Nothobranchius furzeri: one gene and its partner. The protein of the gene in region 1 purifies or fractionates together with the protein of each later gene. This does not show direct contact. Links are inferred from orthologs where the notes say so. Each region holds a gene or a part of one and is shown on either strand. Other genes may lie near its edges.

Region 1 (4,416 bases):
ATTAGGATAGCCACATGTTTTAAGTGATTCCTTTATATGTGTGTGTTCCTTCTTTTTCCCTTCCGGCTAGGGATGCACCGATGGATCGGCATTTGATCCCAATCGGCCGATAGCGCCCCTATCGGTTTTGAGTGGAGTTTTCAAAATAGATCAAAGCAGACCGATCAGGTAGGGTTGTCACGGTAACCGGTGTAGCGTTAAACCCCGGTAAAAAAAAAAGTTGACAATAATAATAACCGTCTTGTTTTTAAAGAACTATATTATCTTGGTGGGATTACTGTGGCTGCGGTGTAGGCGCGGTGACCCTTACCAGCCACCGTATCATCTGCTGAAGTTGCCGGCGGCACATGCGCGCTTTGTTGTTTACAACCAAAACTTTCTTGAAGCTAAAGCTGAAATAATGGCCAAAGGAGGAGACGGCAGCGCTCAGGACATTTGTTATCCCTCAAAGAAGACAAAGTGGGAAGTACGGGCATCTTTTGGATATGTGAAGAATGCCGAGGGACAGTTGATAGAAGACGGCTATCCTGTTTGCAGCACGTGCAGAAAAAGTGTCTGTGAAAGGCAGCAACGCTTCAAATCTCATGACACATCTGCGTGACCATCACCCACAACTCTACAGTCAACGCAAGGCAAGCTAACGTTAGCGTTTTAGCTAAAATGCGTGATCCGAGGATTTGGGTTGAGGGACAAGGGTTAACCCTAACCCTAACCCTAACCCTAAAATAAAAAGAAATAAGGGTTTATAATGGGTTCTTGTTGAGACCAAGACAGAACCTCAGGTTGTTTGTTTATTGAGCCGTTTGTGAATTATTTGTCAGTTTCTCTTTAAAGGACACAAACCACAGCTGCGCTTCACAAACTGTATCTCATTTTTGTCAGGATCTACAACCCTAGTGAGGATAACACAGTTTAGGTAGTGGATGGATGGACAACACTATTTCTTCTCAGCAACTTGAGAACAGTGGACCAGTCCGTCTCCTTTGCTGTATTCATCAGTAACCGAGTCACCAGCTCAGCAGTTTTTCTTCTTTGGATCACCTGAACGCATCAGAAGCTTTAACTCATCTGTCTGAGCCAAAGTAGTAGCAGATCTGTGTGTATTTAGATTTAGTTTACATATACATGTATTTCTGAACAGTCACCTGTTTGTCTGATCGTAAAACACGCTTTACATCGTCCGCATTTGTCAGAGGTTAGGGTTAGGGTTAAAGGTCCCTTCCTGTAAGCTCCTGAACAACCTGATTATCTGCCTGTGGAGCTGAATGTGCTGCTGGACTGAACACAGTGCTGCGTTTACCAGACTGCTGCATTCTAGCTGGTGGATTATGTTGCTTAACGGTGCAGCTCTGAATGGGATTTGCCCTAGAAGAACAAAGTCTTGCTGTTCAGGCTGAAGAAAGAGCAGTTATGAGCTCAGCAGCTCACCCGGGACAGAGAGTCCTTTACGTTCACACGAGGAAGGTATTTTCTCAACTTTTAACCGGCCTATTGTTGAGATGTTTCACAAGCAGATTAGAAGCTATTTTAGTACACGAGTCCAAGTTTCCCAGTTGCTCTGAAACTCTGCCTCCCGAACCCCAGAGCCTGGACTCTCGTCTCCTCATTCAGCCAGCTGGTTCCACACGGGAAAGGATTACCGCGCCTCAGCTTCTTGTTTTATTTGCGATCTCTAGCGCATTCATAAACTAATGGTCTCTTCAGGGCTGTGGTATTCAAGCAGGCAGCTGAACCCAGTGGAGGTGACACCCTGAGCTGGTATGGATGATGCCAGGTGGCTGTTGGGTTCTGTTGGACGCGTCCGCAGCAACACCCTTTCATCCGATGCCACACAGTCAACAGGAAGTAAACTGGCTCTGTGCCATCAGCTCAGCCAGCTCATGACCTGTGTGGACGATCTGGACCCCAAAACTGAGCTGCATGAGAAAATGGTCAGGACCCTGGACAGCGCCTTCCTGGTCTGCTCGAGACGAGCCAACAAGCCAAAGAAGGACCGACTCAGGTGGAGGATGCTGCAGCTTCTCACTCGCCTTTCTGCTGAATCTAGAATCGGTCTCCTTCTGGACAGTGTCTGTGTCCAGACTGGTCCTATCACACTGTGATCAAACCTCGTAATTGCCTTCTGGAGCCTTCCAGTGGACGTGACTCTTTAGTCTGTTGTTCATTAGTCTAACGGATGTGGGTTTGAGTCTGAGCTGCATGTTACAGCGTTGTCGCCCAGGAGGGATTTTCTTGTTATTGTTTTTTCTGAAGTGGAAGAGGCTTTGGTTCCAAAGCTAACGCAGCAACAAATGTGCTGCACATGGGTTGTAACCATGTGACTATGGCTGTGTAATATACATATGTGCACATATCATGGACGTTTATTATCCTGTCGTATGAAACAGAACAACCCTGCTGCAGTAACTCTTGTAGGTGCTCTTAACAACCAGAGAAATGAGGTGTTTACCTGAAAGCAGGTGGCGGTCAGGAAGGAAGACCAGCAGTATCTAGCTGGTATATTTTCAGTTGATTCATCTGAGCTTTTCCAGCTTAACCCCCCCCCCCCCCCCCCCCCTGTCTCACAGGCTTCACCTAGTGACGTGGAACGTGGCCACAGCTGATCCTCCAGAAGATGTGGCTGCTCTTCTTCACCTGAATTCACCCAAAAGAGCCGACCTCTACGTCATCGGGTACAGACGAGTTGTTTTTTATCTCCAGAAGTGTCTCCTGCATCAGCGACTGGCCTGACGGTCAGATGTGTGTTCAGTCTGCAGGAGGTCTACTCAGGACTGCTGAGGTTTGTGTCTGATATGATGTTCGATGACCCGTGGACTCACCGGTTGATGTCCACCTTAGCTCCGCTGAATTATGTAAAGGTACGGACACACACCATCTCACGATCAGTGTGTGTTTCTGTGTGTGTCGTCTCAGGTGTGCATCTGTGTTTCAGGTATCTTCTATCAGAATGCAGGGTTTGGTGCTGCTCTGCTTCTCTAAACTGGAGCATGTCCCCTTCATCAGAGACATCCAGACCACCTACACACGCACAGGCATCTTTGGCTACTGGGTGAGCAGAACACACACACACGAGAGGGAGAGAGAGAGATCAACCTTCTTTCTGCTCAAGGATTTTACCTTTCAAGGTCAACCTCAGGCGTCGTTTTCGAGCAGATTGCCCTCTGTCATTATTTATTAAATTAAAACCAAACCAATTAGTAAAAGCTGGTCCCTCTGAAGATCCGCGGCTGCTGATCAGACGTGCGGATTATGAGTTCCTCCCTCAGGCACAGAAGCAGGAGGTGTTTTAATCAAAAGCTGTGTGTGAGTTGGTCTGTATGCTAACAGGACGTAGCTTAGCCTAAGAGCTGACGACAGCATTGCAGAGTGTGTCTCTTGTTTGGTTTTCAGGGTAACAAAGGTGGCGTGTCTATCCGCCTGTCCCTTTATGGTCACATGGTCTGCTTCCTCAACTGCCACCTGACGGCTCACATGAACTATGCCACAGAAAGAGTGGATGAGTTTGAGTACATCATGGACTCGCAGACCTTTGACTGTAAGAAGGCGTCGAGAATATCTGATCACAGGTGAGAGCACGCACAAGACTCAGACTGTTCTGTATGGATGTTGGAGTAAAAGCTGGAACGTCCGCCCGTTCTGGTCAGTCGTTTGGAATGCCGTAGCTGTCCTGCTGCTCGATCTGAAGGACTCTGACATTCCCTGGCCAGCTGAGAGGGAAGAGCTGGAAGACTTACCTAACTGGAATAATGAAGTGAACGCTGTTTAGTAGGTTTAATTGGGATGTTTTGCTTCCTAAAGCACCTTGAGCCCCATGAGATGTCTAAGCTGCAGCTGTTCCACACCTGCTTAGACTCTATCAAAGCCTGGATGGTGGGAGCTTTCTTCAGCTGAATGAAGATAAGACTGAGATCCTCATGTGTGCCCCAGACAAGCTGGTTCCCAAAGTCAGAGACTCTCTTGGTCAGCTTGCTTCTCACACCAAACCTTCTGTCAGGAATCTTGGCGTGACCTTTGACCCAGCTCTCACCCTGGATTCTCATGTCAGTTCTCTTGTTGGCTCTTCCTTCTTCCATCTCAGGAACGTTGCTAAGCTGAGTCCCATTCTGTCCCGCTCTGAACTTGAGACAGTTCTCCACACCTTCATCTCCTCACGCTTAGACTACTGTAACTCTCTTTTCACGTGTCTGAGCAGAACCTCCCTGAACCGTCTACAGGTGGTTCAGAACGCCTGTGCTCGGCTTCTGACCAAGTCCTCCAAACACACCCACATCACCCCGCTTCTCCTCCAGCTTCACTGGCTGCCAGTCAACTTCAGGGTTCATTTCAAGATCCTGGTTCTGGTCTATAGGGCCTTACATGGACAAGCACCATCTTACATTGGTGATCTTCTCAGTCCCTACACCCCCAGCAGGTCCC
Region 2 (2,884 bases), on another chromosome or scaffold:
TGGAGAGACGGTGGTGGTGGAGGAGCTTCTGGAGGGGGAGGAGGTGTCGGTGAGTGTTAACGTCAGATCACCCAGGTGGGGGTGCAGTTCGTAACCCGGGTGGGTGTTGCTCTGTAGTGTCTGTGTTTCAGCGATGGCGTCTCCGTGGCGCCCATGCCTCCAGCCCAGGATCACAAACGGCTTCGGGACGGAGATCTGGGTCCAAACACCGGCGGGATGGGAGCGTACAGCCCGACTCCTCAGGTAGAAGCAGAACCCGCGAAGAACCCCCAGCTGATCCCCTCAGAACCGTTAAATAGGTTTGATTTGAACAGGTGAGTCTGGAGATGCTGCAGCAGATCCGAGAGTCGGTTCTGCAGAGAACCGTAGATGGGATGAAGGAGGAGGGGGCCCCCTACGTGGGTTAGTGTTTTTATTTATCTACCCGGGTTTTACTGGGACCGGTTCTGACTTACGGTGGTTTGTTTGGTTCAGGTGTGCTGTACGCAGGTCTGATGCTGACCCAGCAGGGCCCGAAGGTTCTGGAGTTCAACTGTCGCTTTGGAGACCCGGAGTGTCAGGTGGGTCTCAGGTGGGAATGGGATTAGAGTCTGGATTAGATTACACCTGGGGCTCTCTGCAGGTGCTGCTGCCGCTGCTGCAGAGCGACCTGCACCAGGTGATACTCGACACCATGAGTGGGAAGCTGTCCTCCAGCGCCCCCGTGTGGCTCCAGGACAGCTTTGCAGTCACGGTGGTTCTGGCCAGCGCTGGGTACCCGGGTTCCTACCAGAGAGGGGTGGAGATCCGAGGTAAGGTCTCCGCTGCTTTTGCTGCAGCTGATGTCAGGGCTGCAGGTGCGTCTGACCTGTTGTCCTCCAGGTTTGTCCCTGGTCCAGGACATGGGACTGCAGGTGTTCCACGCCGGCACCGCCCTGAAGGGCGGAGTCGTGGTGTCCAGTGGAGGTCGAGTTCTGACGGTCACAGCTGTAAGACCGTCTCTGGAGACCGCCCTGCAGGCAGCCAATCAGGGCGCAGCCGCCGTGGACTTCCCTGGGGCCGTGTACCGTAGAGACATCGGCCACCGGGCCTTGGCCCACCTGAACCAGAACCGGTGAGGGATCACGGTGAGCTTTGCTCATCGTGAAACGCTAGAAGCTAAAGTTTGTTTGTGTCCAGCTGCGGCCTGACCTATAAGGACAGCGGAGTGGACATCGCTGCGGGGAACAAGCTGGTGGACATCATCAGACCTCTGGCCAAGGCCACGTCACGCCCCGGTAACCATGGTAACCTGGGTTTTACCGGCTCTGGGGTCCGGCCGTGCCGCTAAAGTCTGAACTTTGTCTCAGGATGTAACGCTGAACTCGGAGGATTCGCCGGGCTCTTTGACCTGAAGGCAGCGGGGTTCGTCGACCCGGTTCTGGTCTCGGGGACGGACGGCGTCGGGACCAAACTCAAGGTTGGACTCCTGCTGTGGTTCTGTCTCCAGGTCTGGAGCTTACGTGACCTTTGTTTGACCTCCCACCAGGTGGCGCAGGCGTGTGGCCAGCACGGTGGTCTGGGTCAGGACCTGGTGGCCATGTGTGTCAACGATGTGCTGGCTCAGGGGGCGGAGCCTCTCTTCTTCCTGGACTACTTTTCCTGCGGGAGGCTGGATGTGGGCGTGGCCTCTGTGGTCGTCGGTGGCATCGCTAAGGCGTGTGAGGCGGCCGGCTGCGCTCTGCTGGGTCAGTTGGGTTATTACAGATGACCAATATGTTTCATTTTCCATTTTTGGTTCTTTTTTAAACACAAATAAGGTTTTTCTTTACCTTGCTGACGTTTCGTTGGCGGCCGCCAACGAAACGTCAGCAAGGTAAAGAAAAACCTTATTTGTGTTTAAAAAAGAACCAAAAATGGAATTTGAAGATAAACACAGAAAGAACGTACAAAAGATGCTGATGCCGTGTTTGTCCTCTGACAGGCGGCGAGACGGCGGAGATGCCGGGCGTCTACGCCCCGGGCGAGTACGACCTGGCGGGGTTCTGTGTGGGGGCGGTGGAGCGAGGGGGGTTGCTGCCTAGGCTGGAGGACATCTCTGAGGGGGACCTGCTGATCGGGCTGGCGTCCTCGGGGGTCCACAGTAACGGGTTCAGTCTGGTCCGTAAGGTCCTGGAGCAGGCCGGGCTGAGCTACAGCGCCCCCGCTCCGTTTGGGAGGCAGGGCCAGAGCGTCGGTGAGGGTTAGGATCAGCATTCCTGATATTCCTGCTCAGCTTTAGGGATAATCGTCCTCTTCTCCTTCTGCTGCGGTTTCAGGCGAGGTCCTGCTGACTCCCACCAACATCTACAGCCGGCCGCTGCTGCCGGTCCTGCGCAGCGGCGCCGTCAAGGCGTACGCTCACATCACAGGGGGGGGTCTCCTGGAGAACATCCCCCGGGTTCTGCCCCGGGAGCTGGCTGTGGAGTTAGGTGAGAGGAGAGGATGATTATGGGATGTTTAACGTGTGCTAATGCTAACGTGTCTCCATGACATAGACGCATCCCGCTGGACCATCCCTCCGGTCTTCTCCTGGCTCCACACCGAAGGCCGTGTGAGTGAGGAGGAGATGAGCAGAACCTTTAACTGTGGCGTGGGGGCGGTGCTTGTGGTGGCCCCCGTTGATGCTCAGAGGGTCCTGCGCCAGCTCCAGGTCCACCTGGACGCTTGGATCGTCGGTTCTGTGGTCCACAAACAACCCGGTTAGAGAATGGAGAACCTCTGGGCTCCGACATCGACCACCTCGGTTTCTCATGGTGCGTTTGTGACACAGGAGCACCGGCCGTGATGGTCCGTAACCTGACCCAGAGCCTGCTGAATGTGGGAGGAGCTTCTGGCGAGGAGCCAGAGGTCTCCACCAGCGGTTGCCATGGAAATGGCATCACAC

Evidence for each region.
Region 2: the proteins of inpp5ka (region 1) and gart purify together in Homo sapiens (co-immunoprecipitation; 3 studies listed by BioGRID and IntAct, counting the BioPlex papers as one, with this or other methods). This does not show direct contact. The link is inferred for Nothobranchius furzeri from reciprocal best matches to the Homo sapiens genes INPP5K and GART.

What each region holds. Positions count from the first base shown.
Region 1 is NC_091753.1:62,185,963-62,190,378, reverse strand, and holds the start of inpp5ka (inositol polyphosphate 5-phosphatase Ka), read left to right. Parts: upstream 1-1,536; 5' UTR 1,537-1,760; coding exon 1,761-2,002; intron 2,003-2,567; coding exon 2,568-2,672; intron 2,673-2,749; coding exon 2,750-2,858; intron 2,859-2,932; coding exon 2,933-3,049; intron 3,050-3,390; coding exon 3,391-3,566; intron 3,567-4,416. UniProt on the Homo sapiens protein: Inositol 5-phosphatase which acts on inositol 1,4,5-trisphosphate, inositol 1,3,4,5-tetrakisphosphate, phosphatidylinositol 4,5-bisphosphate and phosphatidylinositol 3,4,5-trisphosphate.
Region 2 is NC_091754.1:46,922,677-46,925,560, forward strand, and holds part of gart (trifunctional purine biosynthetic protein adenosine-3), read left to right. Parts: coding exon 1-49; intron 50-117; coding exon 118-243; intron 244-314; coding exon 315-402; intron 403-474; coding exon 475-560; intron 561-622; coding exon 623-791; intron 792-861; coding exon 862-1,093; intron 1,094-1,158; coding exon 1,159-1,256; intron 1,257-1,328; coding exon 1,329-1,438; intron 1,439-1,507; coding exon 1,508-1,706; intron 1,707-1,942; coding exon 1,943-2,194; intron 2,195-2,276; coding exon 2,277-2,429; intron 2,430-2,495; coding exon 2,496-2,699; intron 2,700-2,770; coding exon 2,771-2,884. UniProt on the Homo sapiens protein: Trifunctional enzyme that catalyzes three distinct reactions as part of the 'de novo' inosine monophosphate biosynthetic pathway.